2 linked regions of the Caenorhabditis elegans genome follow. The protein of the gene in region 1 purifies or fractionates together with the protein of each later gene. This does not show direct contact. Each region holds a gene or a part of one and is shown in the gene's direction. Other genes may lie near its edges.

What was found.
Region 2: the proteins of nep-6 (region 1) and F53C3.8 fractionate together in Caenorhabditis elegans (co-fractionation; one large-scale study listed by BioGRID). This does not show direct contact.

What each region holds. Positions count from the first base shown.
Region 1 is NC_003280.10:3,414,256-3,422,763, forward strand, and holds nep-6 (NEPrilysin metallopeptidase family), read left to right. Parts: upstream 1-2,572; 5' UTR 2,573-2,582; coding exon 2,583-2,873; intron 2,874-2,935; coding exon 2,936-3,068; intron 3,069-3,114; coding exon 3,115-3,206; intron 3,207-3,880; coding exon 3,881-3,995; intron 3,996-4,041; coding exon 4,042-4,175; intron 4,176-4,221; coding exon 4,222-4,323; intron 4,324-4,373; coding exon 4,374-4,559; intron 4,560-4,614; coding exon 4,615-4,743; intron 4,744-4,910; coding exon 4,911-5,165; intron 5,166-5,208; coding exon 5,209-5,368; intron 5,369-5,535; coding exon 5,536-5,786; intron 5,787-6,020; coding exon 6,021-6,179; intron 6,180-6,227; coding exon 6,228-6,401; 3' UTR 6,402-6,417; downstream 6,418-8,508. Other genes in the region: F18A12.7 (FBA_2 domain-containing protein), read right to left, coding at 1-66, 113-214; F18A12.2 (uncharacterized protein), read left to right, coding at 1,440-1,696, 1,739-1,970; nep-11 (Neprilysin-11), read right to left, coding at 6,747-6,923, 7,028-7,192, 7,413-7,663, 7,710-7,875, 8,120-8,508.
Region 2 is NC_003280.10:3,888,418-3,895,144, forward strand, and holds F53C3.8 (Protein BRANCHLESS TRICHOME), read left to right. Parts: upstream 1-3,006; coding exon 3,007-3,025; intron 3,026-3,099; coding exon 3,100-3,168; intron 3,169-3,219; coding exon 3,220-3,294; intron 3,295-3,378; coding exon 3,379-3,411; intron 3,412-3,544; coding exon 3,545-3,604; intron 3,605-3,680; coding exon 3,681-3,731; intron 3,732-3,787; coding exon 3,788-4,107; intron 4,108-4,516; coding exon 4,517-4,591; intron 4,592-4,980; coding exon 4,981-5,037; intron 5,038-5,088; coding exon 5,089-5,157; downstream 5,158-6,727. Other genes in the region: F53C3.7 (uncharacterized protein), read left to right, coding at 6,664-6,727.

The sequences.
Region 1 (8,508 bases):
TGTAGAAATTGCTTTTCTCGATCGAGTCAAGCAGCGTCTGTTGAGCGGTCTCTGAACACGAGGGATCTGAAAAATGGAACTTAAAAAAAGGATTTGGCGATAGTAGACTTACCGGTGCTCCACGCTGATCGTGGCCGTCCATATTATTCGCGTTTTCGAGTTGCACTATAGGAATCTGGCCAACTTTTTCGGTTGACAATTGATTCGGAATCATAATCAAGCCAGCAGAAAAGAGGGAATGACCATGCACGGTCTGTCCATCACCCTCCCTCTATATTTATTCATTCTGCGTCTCTTATCCCTCTCCTTGTTGGTCAAAATGGTCCCCTGGGAAATTATCGATCTGTTCGCTCGATTTTTTTGGCTGCACAAGGTCTCACGGGAATCCAGGTTGGCAGGATCTCAGACAAAAAATTATAAATCTTGTAAACCATATCTTGGAGTATCCATAAGACTCAGAAAAAAGAGTGCCTTCGCCGGCCTCAGCGGTCGCCGCGCCGGCCTCACGGCGTCACTTACGCCTTTCATTGATAAACTCGTAAACTTTTTTTCTTAATTTCTTAATTTTTTTCTAAAATTTAAACAAATTATTAGAAATGAAAATTTTAAATTCACGTCAACAGTATTGAAAGCGGCGAACGGCGAAGGCGAAGGCCGGCGTGGGGCCCGCATTTCGCGCCTCACTCAGCTGGGAACCCTACTTCTATCCATCATAAGGATCCCAGGAAGCTGTGTACTCCAAATTCAAAATGGTGAGAATCACGAGTCCAAGTGCCGTCAGAATGATGCCAAGGATAAAGCTCATTATCATCATTGGTGTCAGCATTTTGTCTTTTTTTCTTCTATTTTTTGATATTAAGAATTGTGAAAAATTCGATTTCAAATCGATTAAAATAACATTGAAATCACACAAAAATAGAATTTGTTTTGAAAAGTTCAAAAACACGTACAACATCGACAGGGTAAAATTTTCCTGAAATTTAAATATATTTACAATTAATTTATTACGTTTCTTAATAGTGAAAAAAACAGCCTACGTACCTATTTCAGGAATGCCTCGCCTACGTGCCTATTTCAGGAATTCCTTGCCTACGTGGCTATTTCAGGCTTGCCTCGCCTACGTGCCTATTTCAGGCATGCCTCGCCTACGTGCTTATTTCAGGCATGCCTCGCCTACGTGCTTATTTCAGGCATGCCTCGCCTACGTGCATTCCTCAGTTAGATTGCAATAAGTTTTTTTATGAAAAAAAATTACGTAAGTTACGAATAAACTTTTAAAAAATAAATATTAAATTCATAATCCACGCTGCCACTTCCAACTCGAAAAAAATTATTTTTCAATTTTCCAATTATTTTTTGTTGTTAACATCGATTTTAAGTAAGTTTCTATCACTTTTTTTCGCATTGGTAACTTGAAATAATTACAGAAAAGTGCTAAAATGTCTCAGCCTAGTGTAATAATTCCTCAGCAAAATGCGATCATTCCTCAAGGAAGTCCAGAAGCGTCTCAGCAAAGGGAACCAACCCCTCCGAAACCTGAAGAGCCGCCGAACGAGCCGACATGGTTAGACAAGACAATATATCATCCATGGACGCCATACATCACAATAATTGTGACCCTTGCGCTTCCCATAATCTTTGTTTTGGGCTCCTCGTTGTACTTGAGAAGCGAAGAAACAGAAATCAAAGTTCCAAGGTAAGAGGTTCTGCTGGACACCTTTTCAAGTAAAATTTTCAGTAACTTGTCTGTGAATCCGATATTTTCAACAAATGCGACAACGTCATCACAAACTACGAAGCCAAAATTGATTTATAACGAGATGAAGAAGCCCCGGACAACTTTGAAACCATCAACTGCTCCGCCAGAATCCTCAAAGGCCCCAGCATCTACTGGAACCACTTTGGCGACGAATCCTACGATTACTGGTCCACCTGGAACTGGAAAACGAAATAATTCTCGATTTTTCTAATAACTTGTGTTCAATAAATGCTTCTAAAAATTACTGAAAGTTATTAAGGGGGAGAAATACAGAACTAATTTATTACAGTTGACAATTTTTAATCAAACAAACGACAACTGAGATATAAGCTGGAAAAGTTAAGTAAAGAGAATATACGGTAAAACTGTCCTTCGCTAAAAATCAATAACTGGAAAGATTTTTCCAACTAACCTGCTTTTTAAAATGAGCAGCGACTCTGTGAATTTCCAAATTTTTTTGTGAAGAGGTACGAGTAATAAACAAAAATGTCACTCTAGTCGGAGCAACGATTTAATTCGATTCAGTCCACGAGAATTATTTTTAATGCTTATTGTATATTCGTAGTTTTTCACTATTCGAAATTTTAAACTCTGAAAAAAATTTGAATATAAAATAAATTTTCAAACGTGTTCTAAATTCTAAATTCACTTTTCATTCAAGTTGTTTTTCCGTGAATCGATATCAAAAATGAATCATTTCTCAACTTTTACTTTCTTATCTCTCGTTTTCTTTTGAAGATCAGTGCAGGTAATTTCTCAGTTTTTTTAAATTGATTTTTGAATCGATTTTTAAATCAATTTTTCCAGAAAAAAAAATCCCAAAATGTCTGCGAAAGATAAGCTGGCCAATCCTCTGATTGCTCTAGTCGTGTTCCTGGTTCTCACAATTATTGCACTCCTCGCCACTATTATTATCATGAAGCTCAATGAAAAGCCAGTGGAGCCGCCAAGAGTTGCTCCGATTGCTCAGAAGTTGGTAGCTCCCGAGAAGAAGTCAAGGCCTGAGCCGGTGACAAATCCGGTGACGATGACAAGGCCTGAGCCGGTGACTCAGGCTTCGAAGCCAAGGAATGTCTGCGAAACTCCAGGATGTGTAACTTTGGCTGATCAGCTTGTAAGCTTTGATAGCAAAAAAATAGTTTACACATTTTTTTAAATTATGAAATTTTCTTCCAGCTCAACTTCCAAGACCCCTCCGTAGACCCATGTCAGGATTTCTACAAAGCCGCTTGCGGGAAGTATTCGGAGCACGAGGTGGCAAATCGAAGACTGCAGAAGAAGGATATCATCATTCAGAGAATGATTAAAAGTTGGAAAATTCTTGGAAATGCTTGAAAAAAAACGAACAATTTCAGATTTCCTGCTGAAAAATGAGACTTCTGAGTCGAAATCTGAAAATGTGATGAGGCAGGTGTATCGGACTTGTGAGGGGTTGAAAAACGAAGAAGTGAGTTTGAAAAAGCTTGGCTTGAAGGCTTATAGGCTTATAGGCCTTTAGTCTTATTGGCTTGTAGGCTTATAGGTCCTTAGGCTTATAGGCTTCAGGGCTTATAAGCTTATCTTATTGACTTATAGGAATGTAGGCTTATTGCCTAACGATTTTTAAGATAATAGGTTTGGAAGTTTATAGGTCTTTAGGCTTATAGGCCTTTAGGCTTATAGGCTCAAAGGCTTATAAGCTTATCGGTTTATAGTTTAGTAGGCTAATTGGCCTAACGATTTTCAAGATGATTGGCTTCAAAGTTTTAATATATTAGGCTAATCGGCCTTTAGGTTTTTAGGCCTTTAGGCTTATATGGCTTTAGGCTCATAGGCTTTTACGTTTATAGGCTATACGGTTTATAGGCTCATATGTAGGCCATAATAAGCCCATAGACCGTATAGGCTTGTTAATTAATAGGCTCATAGGCGTGTAATCTACTAGGCTTATCGGCTTGCTTGTAAGATATCAGACCTATAAGCGTTTAAGCTTTTTTTTTTGGCTTTCAATCCTTTTAGATGTTATGTATGTGTTTAGACCAATGCGCTTTCAGGCTTTTAGGTCTTCAGGCTTATAGTCTTGTAGGCTTTTAGGCTTATAGGCCTCTACATAGGTTTTCAGGCTAATAATAAAAATTTCAGATTTTCAATGCAAATATGAAAACTGCCTTCAGAGAATTATTCAAGGATATTCAAAAAATTGGATCATGGCCAGCGGCAGACAAAAATTGGGATGAGACTAAACTCAACTTGAATGGTACTTATTTTAAGCTTTAAATTTGCTGAAAATTCATTTTTTCCAGAAATGTTGCTCAACATCGTCAAGCTTGGTAGCAGTAATTTCGGGCTTTTTCAAATCCGTCCAACTGAAGTCCCATTTTTGGAAGTTGCTCCGGATATGGCCCGGAGCCCAAAGGTTTCTGCGAATTTTCAGCAGGTTTTTGGGAGAAATTCTGAAATTTTTGGCATGATACCTTTTTCAGATAATTTTTGATATTTTGGAGAAGAATGGGCTTCAACCGGATGAAAATGTAATTGCCGATGATGTTGAAGACTATATTACGTTGGAGGAGACTTTGAGCCAAGTTTGTAGAAAATTCTGCTAAATAGGTCACTTAAAAATATTCACTTTCAGTACGCCTATGACTATAACGCCGAAAAAGTCCAATTTTCCAAGCTTCAAGCCCAAGTTCCTAGTCTGAAATTGGAGAAGATTATCGAAGAAATGATGAATCCGAACCGGAAAAAGCTGCTAGTTACGAAGGTTAAGCCGAGAATGGTAGCTCACAAGCATTCGCTGTTTTTTGATGAGAAGATGAATGTGGGTTTTTTTTTGGCATTCAGCAGAATATGAGCCTTTTGAAAAAAAATTTCAGCTCGAAAAGCTGCTGAAATCCACACCGAAGCGAACACTGGCCAACTATTTGATTTTTTATTATATGGACCACGCAATGAATGGTCTCTCGGTTCACGACAACGTGATTAAGAAACGAAATTGTGAAAAGGTTTGAACTACGCGGGCACGATCAACCAATCAGCGACGGTGGCCACGCCCCTTGTGGATTGGTTGGTCAGCGATTGATTGGTCAGCGACCACATTGAGGCTCGGAATTTGAATTATGCGTTACAACCGTACTCCTACCGTAATCAATACCCGTAATTTGTTTTCCAGCTTGTAATAGAATACCTCCCAAAAGCATCACTCCGTGTTTTTGTCCGAAATCATTTCGAAAAAGGAAATCTGAAAATCGTTGACGAAATGGCTGAAGAAACTAAGAAATCCTTCATAGAAATGCTCCAAGAATCCACGTGGCTCGGAGCTGACTCCAAGAAAAATGCGATTTTGAAGCTGGAGAAAATGGGCAAAATGATTGGTTATCCGAAGGAATTCGAGAAAAAAGGAGCACTGGATAAGATGTTCGAAACGGTGAGCATGCTTAAATTTTTTTCAAATTGGGATAATTTTGCAGCTCAAACTTCTCCCCAAAGACACCCTTTACGGGATTCTCAAGAAGATCGGAAGATTCCATATGGAGCAAGGCATCGAGTTTGTGGCTCTAGAGACACCGATGGATCCGGTGCTGCCGGTTCTCATGACGAACGCGTTTTATACTGATCGAAATCATTTGTGTGAGTTTTAACCAGCAGTCGACATTTCATGGGTCCAATAGTTCAGACCTCCGAGATGGTGTCGGCTGCAATGATTGTAAACTGTCAAGAGCAGCCGACAATTCACGGGTTGCAATTTACACAACCCATTATATGTCGGCTGCTTAAAAACCGCTTCCACCTTTCAGCTTTCCTTGTCGGGTACATGGATGATCCGCTTTTCGACGCCACCTACCCAAAATACGTAAATATTGCTCTAACCGGAAACATTTTGGCTCACGAAACTAGTCATGGATTCGATACAGCAGGTATAAAGAGGGACGAAAACGGAGAAGTCAGAAGTTGGATGAAGCCGGAGGATTTGAAGGAGTATGGGAAGAAAACTCAGTGCCTGGTAGATCAATACAATGAGTATGATGATCCGGTTTTTGGCAAAAATGTGAGTTTGAGGTAGTCACGTAAACACGTCTAGGAACGTAGGCACGTAGGCACGCAGGTACATAAGAATCTAGGCGGATACCTAGGCACCTTAACATCCTGGAACCTAGGCATCTAAACATCCAGGACACCCAGGCACGTAAGCACGTAGGCACGTAGGCACGTAGGCACGTAGGCACGTAGGCACGTAGGCATGTAGGCACGTAGGCACGTAGGCACGAAAGAAAATTGTCAGCTCAACGGAACTACAACTCTCAACGAGATGGTGGCCGACATGATTGGAGTTACAGTTGCTTGGAAGGTCTTTGAAAAACTCGATTCATCAAAAGAGCAAAAAGTCATTGGATTTGAAAATGAAAATATTGATAAGCTCTATTTCAGAGCGGCTGCTTTGGTAAATCTTTTAAAAAATTGAATTTTTAAATGACTTCCTAAATTCCAGGATTTCTGCTCGTTGCCCCCAACAACAAGCCTGGTAGAAGAGCTCACCAGAGTACACCCGACTGGAAATTTCCGTGTCAATGGGATCTTTTCCAATATGCCACAATTTGCGACAGCATTCAACTGCCCAGAAGGATCACCTATGAATCCCAAAACGAGGTGCTCGATTTTTTGAATAAAGAATAATTTTTTATTGACATAAAATTTAAATATAAATGTTCTTTTTAAACTTGAGTGATTAATTTTTTTCAAATTCAATATTTTGTAGGTCAAAACGAGACGAGAAGAGTTTTCAAGGGAAGAGTCACACGGTAGAATTATAAAATCGGAAATATGTACATTTTCACGGGAGAGACCCGTAAGGCAGCTTTGGGAACTAATGAGAGAGGCACAAATATGCCTGCCTGCAAGCCTGCCTAGTCAGGCAACCTAGTTAGGCAGGCAGGCAGCATTTTTGTGCCTATGTAGGAAGAATCAAAGAGAGCTTGAGATAAGGAGCACAGACAAAAAAAGGAACAGATTACCAAACAATACATTTATGATCTGGGTTAACTGGAGCATTACGGGGACACTTGTAGACGTCAGCAAAAGCTTGCATATTCGACAGGACACCAATTACTCGGAACACCTCTGGAGAATGCTCATCGGTGAGCACTTGTTGCATCGCTGCGGCTTCTTTCTTCTTGCCACACCAGAACTGGAAAAATTTTGATTTTTTCGCTAATCTGAGGGATTTTTAGTGAACGATTGGTTCATTTTTGCCAATTTTACTACAAATTTCAAAACAGGCAAACAACTCACATGTGCATAGCTGACAAAGAAGATCTGCTCATTCGTGTACTGCTGGAGACCGGGTAACCTAGGCTCTTCTCCATTTTCGGTCACATATTTCTGATAGGCTTGGAACGCTTCTTTGACTCCACCGTTGTCGGCAATGTTCTCTCCTTGGGTCAGTTTTCCGTTCACCTGGAAATACGGGGTTATCTCAAAAACGGTATGAGATAGAAAATAAGTTTCAACTAGAAAAATGTTCAGAAGAAAATTTCACACAATTTGTTAGTTGAAACCATTTTTATATCTCTAGTCAGAGCGTCTAGCCGTCTGCGTCTCTTCTCTGCGTCCGACGCCTCGCGGGTCTCTCTTAGTTGTGAATCAATATCCTCCCACGCCTTTTTCCCGTGCTTACCCTAAAGTTAGTCTTGGGCACTGTATAGTTCCCGTACTGCTCGACAATACACCTCCTCCTTGTGTCAAACGAATTCAACGAGCTCTCACTCCACCAATTGTGCAAATTTCCGTCCTTATCATACTGTGATCCTTGATCATCGAATCCATGAGTAATCTCGTGCCCAATCACTGCTCCAATTGCTCCGTAATTCACTGCCTTGGGAAATGTGCCGGAGAAGAACGGAGGTTGCAGAATGCCCGCTGGGAATGCTGGAATTTCAATTTTGGTATAGATCTTGAGGTAGGTGGAACTTACTGATTGCATTCTTTTCGGGGGAGTAGAACGCGTTTACTACAGCCGGTGAAATGTCAAACTCGTGCTTGTCGAATGGTTTCGTGAGCTTTTGGAACTCGCGGCTTTGCATCCAGACGACACTCTTTTTCATGATGTAGTAGTAGGTATCGGAGTCACTGATTGATAACTGAAAGGACTTATATTTGGAATGTAGAGATGGCGGGCTTGGGCTTAGGCTTAGGCTAAGACTTGGGCTTAGGCTTAGGCTTAGGCGTAGGCTTAGGCTTAGGCTTTGGCTTAGGCTTAGGCTTACGCTTAGGCTCAGGCTTAGGCTGAGACTATTTTTCTATATCTGAATTTGCTATATTTTTGATACATCAGTACAATTTCGCGAAATTCGTGTCTCCGATAACTAAAGCTCGCAACCTTACCCCTAAATACTGCTTATCCAACTTAGGAAGATCATTTGTCACGTCGGGATATCCGATATTATTGATCATCGAGTTTGCCTTTTCAATCGCCACGGCCTTCGTCTCCTCATCCATCCAATCGTTTTGTCGTACCAAGTCGGCAAACGAATTTCTCAAGTGCATTATCATTCTCAACGCCTCATGTTTATCACTCTCTTGGAAATGAGCTTGAACATAAATTGCTCCGGCAGCTAGCGGTAGGACTGTCGACGGGACCTGAGCACAGTCCTTCCATCGTGGCGGCGACTGCTGCTGGCCTGTCATTACTTTCAGGAAGTCTTGTTTAATATCTTCGAATCTCTCATCCAAGTACCTCACGTTTGACTGGACAACTCTCCAGAGCACATAAT
Region 2 (6,727 bases), 470 kb from region 1:
ATTTTTTCAGTGTGTATTTTATTATTAAATGAAAGCGACCATTCATAGGTAAAATAGGCAGATTTTCAAAACTATAAGTTCATAAATCACTTCAAAATAACTTTTTTCGAAATTTTTTTCAGAAACTTTGATGCCAATTTTAAGCTCTTTCAGAATTTACCAGCAACTTTCCAGTAGGTGCCAGAAGCTTTAAGCAGTTACAGAAAACGTACATATTCAGCCATACTTTTCATTGCGTATTTTATTATTAAATGAAATCGACCATTTATATGTAAAATAGGCAGATTTACAAAACTTTGAAAATTCCCAAATCACTTCAAAATAACTTTTTTTTAAAATTTCTTTCAGAAAGTTTGTAGCAAATTTCAAGCTCTTTCAGAATTTACTAGCAACTTTCCAGTAGATGCCAGATGCTTCAAGTAGTTACAGAAAACGTACAATTTCAGCCATACCTTTCAATGCGTATTTTATTATTAAATGAAAGCGACCATTCATAGGCAAAATAGGGGGAGACAACTGCAAGGCGACAGAGAGGAGCTGAGCAAGATTGCCAATTGGCTGCGGTTTTGTGGCGGACACAAAGGGTAGTTACGTATGCTGACAGTAGAGGATGTCATTCCTCCATTGATGTGAGCGACTGGTGGTTGCTCTTGGGTGACTGGTGGTTACCCTTTATTTTTTTGTTGTTATTTTCTATGATTTAGCAACTGCTCTATTCCTGATTTTGTACTTCCAATGACTGTTGAGACGCCAGATGGTTGGGAAATTGCTCAATTTGTCGCATTTGCGCCAAAAAGCTACGCATACAAGATGCTGAACGCACATAATGAAGAAAAGTGTGTTGTGAAAGCAAACGGGATTACCCTGAGTTGTGTAAATGCAAACAGGGTAAGTTTTTACAGTATGATACAAATGGCAAGTGTTTTTCATTTCTTTTCACGGGACAATTTTTAAATTTTTAGGTACTAGATCAGAATGACATGGCATCGAACAGCAATTCACAACAAAACGGATGCGTATGAAGAGATGCGGGGCAAGCGGAGACCTATTCAACGGACTGGAGACTGTCATTGAGGAAAAACAAGATGCGGCACGGAAATTAATATTTCATTCTTCTCCGACTCTCTTTTTTTTAAAGTTCTTTTAATACTCTGTACAATTTTTTTGAATTATTTTTATTACATAAAAAACTCGAGAAAAACCATTTAAAAAACTTATTTTGGAGATCGTGAGTATGACTGGTGCTTCTCAGAAAACTTTGGATTGTTCAGCTCTTCCATGTTCGACCCTTTAACAATATTAGTTGAAATATTAATCAAGTGTACCGGTGGATGTACCTTGGGTTCATTTCAGGAATGTATACTCCAGTCTGTTTCCGGGGTCTCCTCGGTGTGCATATCTCCTATCTCTAAAGTAATTGTGTTTATAAATCACTTCAAAATAACTTTTTTCAAAATTTCTTTCAGAAACTTTGTTGCAAATTTTAAGCTCTTTCAGAATTTACCAACAACTTTCCAGTCGGTGCCAGAAGCTTTAAGCAGTTACAGAAAACGTGAATTTTCAGCCATACCTTTTAGTTCCTATTTTATTATTTTATTTAGTTGATCATTTATATTTATTTTGTTGTGTAAATTTCATTTTCTAGTTGTGCTTTCTATTGTAGCCAGTTTTCTTCTCAATAAAAAATTACCTTTTTCAGATCTCATAAAACTCTTTGTTCATTTTCAAAAATATTTCCGCAACCCTGCCATCACTTAACCCTCTCAATCCCATTATCAATGACGTCCATTTGGCTCTTTTATGTCTGATGCAACGAGGCAATCGTTTGAACGCCGCCGATATTTGCACTTTTCTTCTTTTCATCAAATCTTTTTTTTTGAATTATATCTCTTTCTCAGCGATTGAAAGTACAAAGATAACACCTTTTGTGTGATAAAGGAGGGAAATTTAGTAAATTTTCAATTTGCAGTTTTGTTACGGTGAATATTAGTAATTCATATTCATTGTGAGATGTCTTACTAGTTAATTAATTTGGGTCCCTTCCGTATCACCTCATTAGTGGACACAGTCCGTGCATTCAAAAGCTTCAAGCTCCAGATCTCATCCCCGCTCTGAATGCCTTAACCTACCAAGTATCAAATTACCAACTGTGCTTGGCAAGTTGTGATACGGTAGGCAATACGTCTATGCCCTCACCCCTTCACTAACTCTCTCTCTCTCTCTCCATATATCTCTTCGGTTGGATTTTGAAATATGTTTACAACTAGGCAACCTTGAATGCTTAGTTTCTCATAACATTTGCAATTGGAGAACACTTTTTTTTGAATTTTAGACTTTTCGATTCTCAATTTTGGTTTTACAACTTCATTGATGAAGCTCGGGTTCTAGTAGTATGTATTGTGAAACATTCTCACTTTGACTACTCATATCTAGGTTCTCTTTCAAGATATCGGTAAACTTTCAACTACAAAACTGAAGTTTAACACTCAACAAATAATTTGTCAGTTTTGAATATTCCTATAAAACAAAAGATAATCGAGATAAAAGCAGTCAAAGTTTAAAGATGATTTGTCGTGTTAGTCACGTTTTCCGTCAGCCCACTTCTCTCATCTTTTTGGCAGTTTTTCAAAATTATTACAGAAACGTGGAAAAATATTCGTACTTTTGGAAAATAACTTTATATTTGATTATAAGCTCCAAAAAGTTGCTCAAAACCTGACACGAAATAGCTATGTGAATTTATATTTGAGTCAGTTTTTGAACAACTTATCGAAATTCTCCACTAAAATTTGAGTTATTTTCAAAAATTACAAATATATTTCTAAATAAATATCTGAAGAAAAAATTAGACATTTTCCCCTGTTTGCCAAAAAACTGCGCCAGTCTGGAATTTTTTACCTACTTTATTTTTAATATCTTTTTCATGATTCCATGAAAAATAGTTTTCAAGTATTTTTTAAATTAAAATTTTTCAGTGTCCATAAAACCCTCTTCAAGCCAACCAAAATGCAGCATTCCCGCTCCAGTGAGTATCTTTTTGTTTTAAAAAATATTTCACATCAAGTTTTTTTTTCTGTAATTTCAAGTTCCCTGTTTCAGATTCCCCATCGTCGCCACCAAGAAGACAGCCAAACAATTTGTTCAACCAACCGGCTAGAGCTGTTTTCCGTAAGATTTTTTCAGTGACAACTTGAATTTTTAATGCTCAAATAGTTCCAGCTTCCTTTCCAGTCATGGGAGAAGCCGTTCCAATGACCTTTTTTCCGATGAGTGGATCAAACACTTCCACACTTTGTGAGTTTTTGGCCTTAAAGTATCGTACCATGTGGCCTCAAATAGAGCAGCTGAAAAACATTTTTATTCACAACTTTTTTTCAGTCCCATCTTCGTTTGGACTACAACAGGCTCCGAGTAAGTTTTTTTTAAATTCTGTTAAGTTTGTAAGTTTTGGGTCCTAAATTTTCACATCACATTAAAAAAATTGCGAATTTAAAATTTAGAAAACAACTAACCTGGCCAAATCATGTAGTAAATCTTATTTCAGGTGCAGCTCCTGCCAGACCAGAACTTCGAGAAAATTCGGTGGAGATCGTCGAGAGGAACTGTACATGTTTACTTTAAAAAATTGAAAACACTTAGTTGTTCACTTCTATGTAATATAATTTAAAAAAATAATTCAGCTGCTCCACCACAGCCTGTCGGAGTTCGGCGCAGACCCTCTTGGCAGAACGGTATTTTTTCAATTTTCTAGATAAATTTTAAGCTTTCATCGTTATTCAATTTTTAGATAGTGCTCAGGCAAGAAATCTCCTAACCCAAGCGGCTCAAAGAAATCTCGAAGTGGACCATCTCAACAATTTGGAGCTGAAAATTGAAGTGGAGCGGGTCAGGAAAGAACAATTGACGATTCGATTGCAAAGAGAAAGGGAGGAGTTGAACTTTGAGAAGGAAAAATCGGAACTTCTACTGGAAAGAAAAAGAGAGGAGTTGAACTTCGAGAAAGAGAAATCGGAGCTTCTGAAGAAAGCCAGGGAAAGTGAGCTGGAAGAGCTGAGAACTGCGCCTGCAAGAAGATCCGATATTCAGGAGAAGCCGGAGGTTGAGCAGGTAAGTCTTGCTTAGGGGATTTAGTCCAAATACACTGATTAAAATTACCAAATATCATAATTAAGTTAATTAGATTGTTTAAAATTCCCAGCAAAAGATTCGGCTAATTGCCAAAATTTTTAAAAATATATGGATTCTTTGAGTACTGTTGGAGGTTTGAACGTTTAGAATGTTTGATAAAAAATAGAAATTGTAGATATTTTTATTAACAAACTGCCAAAATAATTATAAGTTATATCTGACTTTTTTTGCCTTTTGACTGCAATTTGAAATTATCAATTTTTGATCAATTTTTTTGGTTTTACTATAGTATTTGGATGCTTTATCACAATGGTAGCTTTTTAGAGAACGCTACTTCTGAAAAGAACACTTAAATCCAACATTTCAAAAATTGAATTTATTTTTTCAGAACTCAGGCACTTCGGGGGTCAGCGTTCCTGCCAACGTGCCTGCGAGAAGATCGCAACAAGCGCCGGCCGATCAGGTAATTTTTGCTAGAAGGATTTAGCCTAAATACTTCAAAAATAATCAAAAATCCCCAGATTTTAAAATTAAGGTTTTTATATTTCCAGCCACAGTTTGGTCAATTGCCAAAAATTTTCAAAAAATGTGGACTTTTGAGTAATTTCGAGAATTTTTGCAGATTTTAAAATATATAAACAACGTTAAAAAAAATTTTTTTTTGATCAAATTCCAAAATTATGACAGTTACTTCTTTTTGACTGCTAATTGAAAATTTCAACATTTTTTTGAAAAGTTTTACTTTTGATATTGGAACATTTTACCACAATGGGAGCCTTTTTTTTGACAACGTCCCTTTTGAACTCAATATTAAAATCAAATTTTTCAAAAATCTGAATATACTTTTTTCAGGTCCCAGGTCCTTCAAATGTTGCGTGCCGCCGTGGAAAGCGGGGATGCACAAGTACCGTAAGTGAAAATTAATCAGGAAATCTCCCTTTAAATATAATATTATTTCAGGCGCCGATTAAAAAGACTGTGGAATTGTGCAAGCGGACCAAAACAATTCCGAAAAAATGTAACAAGTAGATAAGGTGGTTTTGAATTTACTTAGTTTTTAAAAATTAACCGAGATGCTAATTTCAAGGAAAAGCTTTAATGTGGTTTTGAAAGTAATATTGAAAAAAATTTAAAAAATATATAACTTATCTAGTATCGCTGGCGTTCAGAACTGAAAATTTGGATTCAACTTCCCATTTTCTCAAGGTCTTAACTTCTAACAACAAAAAAAACCAGTGCAAAAGATAGGGGGTTTCAAACAAAAACATACACGCCGGTAATCAGGCAGGAGGCTGCTACAGTAGCCCTCGGGGGTTACTTGGCAATCGGCCAAATTGACCTATTGCGCAACACAGCTCTGTTGCTACTTTTCACGGTGTTCACAGTTTGGATAGATGTCTGCTCATCCGTATATTTTGCAACAAATAGGTGTATCATATTACATGGTGTTCGTTCATACTTTTGGTGTGAGGGAGCTTTGAGGTCACCGGCAACTTTGAAAGTTTATGTTAGCTGATTCTTTGATCTATGGAAATTTTTAGGATTGTAGGGATACTTGTAACTAGACAGTTAGACTTGTAACTAGGCAATTTGGGCAGGTCAGGCAGAGGGTCTATTCCCTAAAAAGAATTAACCTGGATCAACAAAAAGAACGTTGAACCAACCAGAAAGATCAAAAAAATTCGCTTGAAAATGTGAAATTCACCACATCACCAGCGACAAGCTGATTTCAGGCAATACCGTGTTTTGAAAAGACAAAATCCTTTTAACACAAAAGGACACAGATTCCAATCGAAACAAATTTCAGAGTGAAGCCTCCGACCAAAAGATTCTTCTCCCGTTTTTTCTCCGGCTCCCTACTGACTCAATCCATGCTCATTATCTCCAGGAAAACTTCACTTTCAATAATCTTTTTTTTATTTTTCCATGATTCTCAGTATCTCAGCGATTGTTTTGAAATTTTCTGTTCAGTTTATTTCAATCAATTATCACATACCTTCCATATTCCTCAACTTTTCTATTTTTTAATAAAATTCTTGTTTTTAAGAGGCAAATATAATTTTTAGGATTTTACAGAAATTTTTCGCAGATGGTTTTTCTGGCAATTTCAGCGACGTTCAGACAATTGCTAGGCAGTCCCAAAAAATATTCTTACAATTTAATTTTTTAAGACTTCAAAATTTGATCGCCTTTTCATCAACTAAAGAAAAACCGTGTATTTTTTTCAGATGTTCTCTACTTCTCTCATTTTCTAGGCATATTTTTCTCAGAGTATGTATCATCATTTTGCACATTATGACCCCACCCTTCCTGGGGGGCATACCATCGCCTGTCGACCTCTCTTTCACTATTAACATTTACGTTTTATTGGGATGGGAGAGGAGGCAACCATTTTTCCCACCCATAAAAATTCACATTTTTGCCAAAAATTATATATTCTGTCTTGTGATATTTTTAACATTGAGATTGAAAGTGTGTCTTTTGTTGTAAATTTTCAAACTCCAATTTTGTTTCAGAAAGCTTCAAAAATCTAAAATGAGCCACGTGTATGGGTACGGAAGAGCCGGCTATCGCGATGGAAGTAATTTTGACTCAACCC